2 linked regions of the Oryzias latipes genome follow. Each later gene encodes a partner of the first gene's protein in a complex. Links are inferred from orthologs where the notes say so. Each region holds a gene or a part of one and is shown on either strand. Other genes may lie near its edges. The genes, in order: ints2 and ints12.

The links.
Region 2: ints2 (region 1) and ints12 share a complex: the UniProt entries of both Homo sapiens proteins name them as parts of the integrator complex. The link is inferred for Oryzias latipes from reciprocal best matches to the Homo sapiens genes INTS2 and INTS12.

The regions. Positions count from the first base shown.
Region 1 is NC_019872.2:22,024,807-22,028,728, reverse strand, and holds the start of ints2 (integrator complex subunit 2), read right to left. Parts: upstream 2,603-3,922; 5' UTR 2,386-2,602; intron 1,328-2,385; 5' UTR 1,288-1,327; coding exon 995-1,287; intron 895-994; coding exon 756-894; intron 1-755. UniProt on the Homo sapiens protein: Component of the integrator complex, a multiprotein complex that terminates RNA polymerase II (Pol II) transcription in the promoter-proximal region of genes.
Region 2 is NC_019859.2:15,820,065-15,823,986, forward strand, and holds the start of ints12 (integrator complex subunit 12), read right to left. Parts: upstream 2,480-3,922; coding exon 2,477-2,479; exon of another isoform or gene 2,470-2,476; intron 2,369-2,469; exon of another isoform or gene 2,213-2,368; intron 2,107-2,212; exon of another isoform or gene 1,988-2,106; intron 1,333-1,987; coding exon 1,174-1,332; intron 1,077-1,173; coding exon 924-1,076; intron 312-923; coding exon 130-311; intron 1-129. Other genes in the region: gstcd (glutathione S-transferase C-terminal domain-containing protein), read left to right, coding at 2,478-2,885. UniProt on the Homo sapiens protein: Component of the integrator complex, a multiprotein complex that terminates RNA polymerase II (Pol II) transcription in the promoter-proximal region of genes.

The sequences.
Region 1 (3,922 bases):
AATACTCCTGTACACAAGGTGGCGCTGCGCAACTTTACGCTTCTTAAAGTCGCTTTTCACTCAGAAGAAGAGAGCAAGTATTTACACGCTTGTCAGAATCAAACAAAGAAAACATGAATATTTCAAGCACCAGTAGCTCCAACTGGTACTTGGTAAGGGGATATTTTAGAATGTCCGTCATTATTGCTTCGCGGCTGTGTAGACGCTACTTGGCGTCTATCTTCTTCGCTGGTATGTGTGCTCAGCAAGGCAGTTTTGTGTTTGAGCGCCCCCAAGTTGTGTTTTACTGTAACTTCAGAAGCTCCAGACACGTGTGCAAAAGCGCCATTCTCATTGGTCGAGTAGATTTCGACGCAACGCGTCGAAAAAAAAAAACGAACCCGAGGCGTTTTTTTTTTTGACGCTTTAACGCTTGGCGTTTTTTCGCGTCGGTGTGCACACTCTCGTTGGTGCCCTTTGTTTAGTCACGAGGCGTTAAACGTCGGCGAAAATCGCCGGCGAAATTCGTCCCGGTGTGAACAGGCCTTTAACCTCTGCTGGAACTATTTTCTAGAAAACAGTTTTTTTTTTAAAAAAATCTCGGCTAAAAACGGCATAATCATAAATCAAAGACCACTGGGAACTTTTTACAATAGATCAAAAGGTGCTCAGAGACTTTAATAGCAAGACAGAATGTTAATACTGAAAAAAGATTTAGAATAAATCATATAAAGGTTTCCCTTTGATGAAAGAGGAATACAAACAAAAGACTGTACCTTATTCATGATGGCCAGCAGTTCACTCAGGGTCAGTCGCAGTCTTCTGAGAGGATCACTGTGTTCAAACTCGAGGGTCAGGCCGTGCTGAAGCTGTGACACCAGAATGCTCTCTCCATTTGAGCCACCTGCCTTGTGTCTGGAAGAAGAGGCTAAATGTTATATATGTACTGCTAAAACAAAGACAGGTAAATACTAAATTACATGACTAACAAAAACAAAAAAGAAGTCAGCCCTACCTCAGCTGTTGCTCCTTCCTTGCATCCTGCTCTAAAGCGTGAAAGTCCACTGACAGAAGCGCGACGATGGAGTTGACGGCTTCCACTCCAGAAAGCAGGCGCAGGATGAGCTTCTTGTCTTGAGCCCAGGACTCACTCTGATCAGCAGGAGCGCATAAAGCCATCCTCACCAAACACGGGAGCAGCAGCCTCAGCTCCGGGTCACTTAGGGCGGCCAGGCGCACCACGTCCACCTTCTGCATGGCTTCAAAGGCATAGGAGCTGACAAACTGCAGCCCGGCACTGTCCCCCATCTCTTTGTGGGCAAGGACACTGTGGGACAAGGAAAACGAGCTGCAGCACACAGCAAATGACTGAAGCACCAGCTTATTTTCAGAAGACGGAGAGATTTTATTCAGATTTTTGCAGTGTTTTAGTCCAGTACGACTACTAAGCTCCTCAGAGAGGTTGGAGTCAGAGGACGGGCAAACAGACAGGCTATCAAAGAACTGACCAACACCGGTTAGAGGACAAGCTGTGGCTGAGGAGAAGTGACATCACATGGACAAAAATGACTAAATAACAGCGAGACAAACACCCAGGCTTGATCAACCTGTGGTTGGTCTACCTCAAAACACCCTAAGATTTTGAGGTACACAACTGACGATGTATCTCGCATGTGAAACCTAATGAACGTCCAAGAATTTCTGAAGTTAAAGTGGTAAATTTTAGGGATTGTAACATCAAGTCGTTTCAACAACATTGCTCCAGGATCACAGAACGTCCTTCCAAGTACTAACCATTTCTCAGCTGATCGTATAATCTGCATTTCACTTTAAACAAACCTATTAATGATTTTTAAGAGCAACCCAAAACAATAATACCAGACAGACCCTGTGAGAGACAACAGATTTTTTTAAGGGTGGCCGAACCCGACCTCTGCTGAAAACAAACCGAACTGAAAAAAAGTACTAAAACAGAGAACTACTTTAGAATATTATAAAAGTCTGGAAAATCTGAAATAAGTAGGATGAACAGTGAAGAGGGTCCATAGATTGACATGATGTAGCTAACACAAAGATGGGTAGCCAATAATGCCTCTAATTACTAAAAACGTTCACTGACGTAAACTGTTTTAGTAAAACATTAGTGCGTTTTTCTCAGTTTGCGGAAAAAAATCAGAAAAGTTTGATTTGGACGTTTCTAGACACAATAATAAGGCGCTAATTCGGCGATGCTAGTAGCTAGCCGGCATTTGAAACACGTCCAGTTGACTTTAGCATGCTAGTAGCGGCTAACGCGAAGCTAAAAAAAAAAAAAGTCAAAAAAAGACTAGTGGAGTCTCTCAGGGGGTTATTTCCGCTGCAATAATACCTATCACCATTATTTCCTTCCATTATCAGAATTCTTACCTCACTTATGGAAAATATTCAGTTTTTCCCAGAGAAATCCAACCATTGGGGCTTTTAGCTCCCGGACTGAGTTGACTGTGAACGTGACGGGTCCTCCTTCGACAGGAGACTGTCCTGAGGGATGCCGGCGGCTTTGCGACAGCTGCGAGGGTTTACGTCCTCTGTAAACTCCCCAAAAAGCTGTCACAATTATAATAATTGTGACAGAATTGAGTTATTATATAATTGAATTATTGAATTAATAATTATTATTATTAAACCCTATTTCTCTGAGCTCAATTTCACATTTGATTCCCATTTAACCAGATATCCACCAGTGACAAAGTATATCCCAACATGTTGATCTTTTCCTATAAATATATAACAAATAAACAAATAAATATGCGTCCCAATACTCCTTTAGAGAAAGAGGTGATGGAAGGACACAAGTAAAAGTGAAATAAATAGTACACAGTCATCATTAGAAAGTATTAAAAAAAATCCCAACAGTCTTTGTTTTTTGGATCTACCTTGTACTAATTTAGCTACTTCAATCAATCAATCAATCAATCAATCAATCAATCAATCAATCAATCAATCAATCAATCAATCAATCAATCAATCAATCAATCAATCCGTGGAGCAACTATCACCCAAATGTGTTGGACATCAGGTGCTGGACATAAAGACATACATAAACATTGATTGAAAACCATAAAAAGTCATTAACCACAAAAGACTTAAAACAACAACAATCAAAAGATAAATATAAAAAGGCTAGGAAAGGCTCAAGGCTAAAGGTTTGAGAAGAAACTGTATGGATTATTAAAAGATGGAACGGGTAAAAATGATAAACCATAAAAGCTACAAAAAAAAAAGACATTAAATGAGTTACATAAATAATAACTTAAAAAGGCAAGTAAATCATTTACATTTAAATATGTCCACAGATGCAGAAACTCTCAGGTAAATTTTAACACAGATGTGGACTGTGGTCCTGAATAGACCTCGCTGTGAGTCCTGCATCTCATAGATTTGAAATCCACTAAGATATTTAAAAACTAGGAGAATCTTCAAATTAGTCCTAGCCAGTGCAGAGAATAGTTACACAGCAAAAACTTAAAATAAGTCACATTTTTAAACCTCTTTGGCAGAAGAAGAAAAAAAAAAATCCAGTGTTGGTCCTTAGGCAACACCATTCACTGCTGCCCATCTGGGTCTCCCTGTGCCTCGTGTCAGGAAGGGCACCTGACATTTAAACAAACAACAAATCTCTATACCAAACCACTGAAAAGCTGTAGTTACCCATAACAGCACAAGCCGAAAAGTTAAAATACTAACTGCATCTCCATGGATACATTTAAAAAGAAAAAAAAAGGTTATATTTACATTTGATAGTGAAAGAAGAGAAAAAGAATGAAGGTGCACCAAAGTCACAATAGAAAATGTGTGGTTTGATGTGGCTCTCCTGCCATTTTAATTCTGAAGCTGTAAATCAGCTGTAGAAGATCTGGGTCTTGTTTGACAAGCTGTATTTTATTTTGAAGAACCTTGTCAC
Region 2 (3,922 bases), on another chromosome or scaffold:
TGAGTGAAGAGAATTTCATACCAACTCGCACGTTGTAGAAAGAGAAACTGGATCCACAAACCAGAAAAATGTGCAAATAACAAAGAAACTCAAAGTTTCATTTCATTTCATTTGATAATTAACAAGCACCTGCAAACCACACAAGCCAGTCCCATTTCCATGGCAAAGTCGTCAGCATTAGTTTCATCGTAGTCGTGTATGTTGGGCATGAGGTCCTTGCTCGTCTGAACAGTTATAGGGGACGAGCGATTGTCCGGTTTCTCCAAGCGGGACTTTTTTGGAGGATCCACTTCAGACAACTCCACCCGTATCTATTTGTCAATGAGACAGAGAACGTATGAAATTTGAAAATTCATACCAACATTGGTGTTCAATCACACAAGCTGTTATGCTTAAAATAACCACAGATTGAGAAGAAAGTCCCAAGCAATGTCTATTATTATTATTTTAAACTAAGGATGTACATGTTTGTTAGAAATGGACTTGTTCATCTCGCTGTGGCATCATTTAGTTCATAAAATAAAGTAATAATATTCAATTACAAGACCCAGGAAAGCCATAAATCAAGACTTCGATTATTCATAAAAAAAAACAACCTTTAAGTTGCTGATATGTTAAAATAATGACCCATGTATGTTTTCTTTTTCTCTTTCCCTGATCAGGCATCCTTTTTCTGGTGTTAAAAAAAAGTCTCAAATTTTATTCCAAACATTTTTTTTTTGAGTGTTGTCATTTCTTTTTGCATTTGTCAATATTTTATGTCTCTTCAGGGCTTTATTCCTAAATTCTAATGATTGACAATTGTTGCAGCTTTAATTGGAATCAATGTAAATCCTGAAGAGAATTAATGAGTACAGTCCAATCATGGCACATGGTGTCATCTAAACATACATGATAATGTGACAACACTTTTAATCCCCCACCTTCTCTGATGGCCTCTTCTCTGCTTCTTTCTTGCTCTTCTCTGAACTGGATTTGGAACTTCCACTGTTGCTGGAAGATGGAGTGCTCAAAGACTTTGAGTCTTGCTTAGTCAGGCTCAGTTTGGACACAGAACTTTTTGGCATTTCCAAGTCCTAAAGATGAACACAGCAGAAAAGAGGAGCAATAAGCTCCATACGAATGAATTATCACTGACAGCGTAAGACTATCTTTATAAGAAGCGGATCTTACTTTTTGTAATGAGCGGTAGGAGGAGTCACCTCCTCTCGCAAGGGACTCATCGAGTAAAGCTTTGAGTTTCTCTGCTGAATCTTTGTTCTTGGAGTGCAAATAACCCAGAGCCTTTAAAAAAAGGGGGTCCAACTCCAAGCTGACAGGTCCAGCCATGGCCTAGTTAGAAAATGATTGAATAATGTTAGGTTTTCATTGACGTCTGCAAATTACAAATGTACACTTTGCTACAATACAAAACTATTTCATCTTATCTAGATTGCAAATTAAATATACTAACTATAATAAAAAACAAAAACAAAAACAAACATTTATTAAGTCAGTCACACATGTTTATAGGCGTCTGGGAGCATTTACAACAATGAATATCAATGATGAGCATATTTATTCAAAGTTATAGTTTGCTAATTACAATTGTAATCAAATAAAGCAATTTACAATGAACTATAGGCTGTCAAAACTAACAAAAAATACAGCAACCAATAAAAATGTTCATTTTTAAGAGTTTTGCCTAATAATGGGTACACAAAAACGGAACGTTTTTAAGACTAACCAGCTATTTTTCCTTATTTGCGGTATTTATTACAAGAAATCCTGCCTCTGCATTATTTACTACAAATATATAAAGAAATATGATGCCTGTGTCTATTAAAAACAACCCACAATGCTCAAATCCAGTTGGTAGGGTTTAAAGTAATCGTTGGTAGCAGATGGACGGAACAATATCACTGCGACACCGTAGGTAAAGTTATCTTCCCAAATGTCACCAACACGTCAAAATCCCCAGTCTATAGCTTTAAATGGGTAATCCTACCTCACACTCAGTTTCTGCAAAATGTTGGTCTCTGCTGTAGATATTTCTGTTTAATAGAACTCTTTCCACAAAGAGGAAATCGCCGCTGACGTTTTATGTCTTTCACAATGTGCACCCGATAAATGTGTCCGGAATCTAAGTGGGCGGCGCAAGTAGAACAAAAAATATACTTCACGTAATAGCAAAGCGAATTTGTTTTTTGTTTTTTCACTCGTATTTTTAAATAAGTTTTATTCTAACCGACTTTCTATCAATAAATGCATTTAAAATGTATATATTTTAACGACCAGCTGGTGGCGCTGTGGCAATACTCGACTCAATAACTCGTAGTAGAAGAAGAAAAAGCAGCACGCTGATAACGTGATGTTTGTAAAGTAGCCGGTCTGTATGACTTCTTTCTGACTGTTTTATGGCATTATTAGCAGTTGAAAAGACAAATAGTGATAATAAAAAATACTTAAACATATTTCTCCCATTCACAGCATTTACCATGACACACGCCGAACAACCCCCGTGCCTCTACTTAGAAGTTTGCAGCCAAAACGAGCAGCTGCGTCTTCCCCTGCACTCTTCTATAGTTCTGTTTCTGCTGTCTTACTGCGACTGCGAGTCTTTCAGAGTGTTTCTCGTCCTTGGCGACAGCAGCAGCTCCGAGCCTCTGAAGAGCCAGCTTCCAGCATCTGCAAGTCTCTCAGACGTCCAGGTGGACGAGCTGCCCAAACTGGTGAGCAGCTGCCGCCTCCCCGCTGCTCTGGATGAGAGCGCGCAGATCTGCAGGGCCGGACTGGCGGTGGTCCTCAGACACATCATCGACAAGAGCATCGAGGCTGACCCTTCCAGGAAGGATGTAGCAGCTCTGCTGGGCTTCAAAAAGACCTGCTTAAAAGCCTGTGCAGAGGTTGGTGCAATTACACTCTATCACGTCTCTGTAGGTTTGTTTTGGTTGTCAGGATGGAAAAACACAAAAAGTCTTTATGTGTGTTTTGAAAATATGAAAAGACCGTGATGCTTTGCATTAAAGGGCATCAAAGTTATGCAGTTTTACATGAAAGGAACAGCTGTTGTGTTTGTAGGCAAAAAGATGCCACAAAAATGACACCCCCCCAACACAACACCAAGTATCATCTTACAGTTTCAGGTCAATGTTGCCATATGTTACAGAAAAACAGCAACATTAATTATCAGACATTTCCCCCCGGTGACAGGTGGTGCACCTTGCCAACAAATTATGGATGTAATGATTAATTGACTAAAATCGAATTTTATTCCTATGATCCAACCAGATCTTTCTGACGCAAGCTGTTAATTGAATCGACCTATGAAATCATTTCAAAATGAAATAAATTGATTATTATCAATATTGGAAAGTCCCATTTGGATTGAGGCCTTGTGGGTGTATTTTACTATAACATAAAAACTGACAGAGTGCCATTACAGTGGGCAACACACATGTGATGGCAGTAAAAAAAGATACCTACAGTCTTGTCAAATTGACTCCATCATTGAACACCTAAAGGCAGGATTTGTTGCTAGCAGTACAAGATGACCCAGACCAAACTGCATCTACATATACAGTCAGGACCATAAATATTTGGACAGAGACACATTCTTTCTAATTTTGTTTCTGCCTGGAGTTGATTAGAGGACTCGTGCTTGCATTTGGAAGATTTTGCTGTGAACAGACAACATGCAGTCAAAGGAGCTCTCCATGCAGGTGAAAGGAGCCATCATTAAGCTGAGAAAACAGAAAAAAACCATGCCAGAAATTGCTACAGTATTAGGAGTGGCAAAATCAACAGTGTGGTACATCCTGAGAAAGAAAGAAAGCACTGGTGAACTCAGCAACGCAAAAAGACCTGGACGTCCACGGAAGACAACAGTGGTGGATGATGGCAAAATCATTTCCATGGTGAAGAGGAACCTGTTCACAACTGC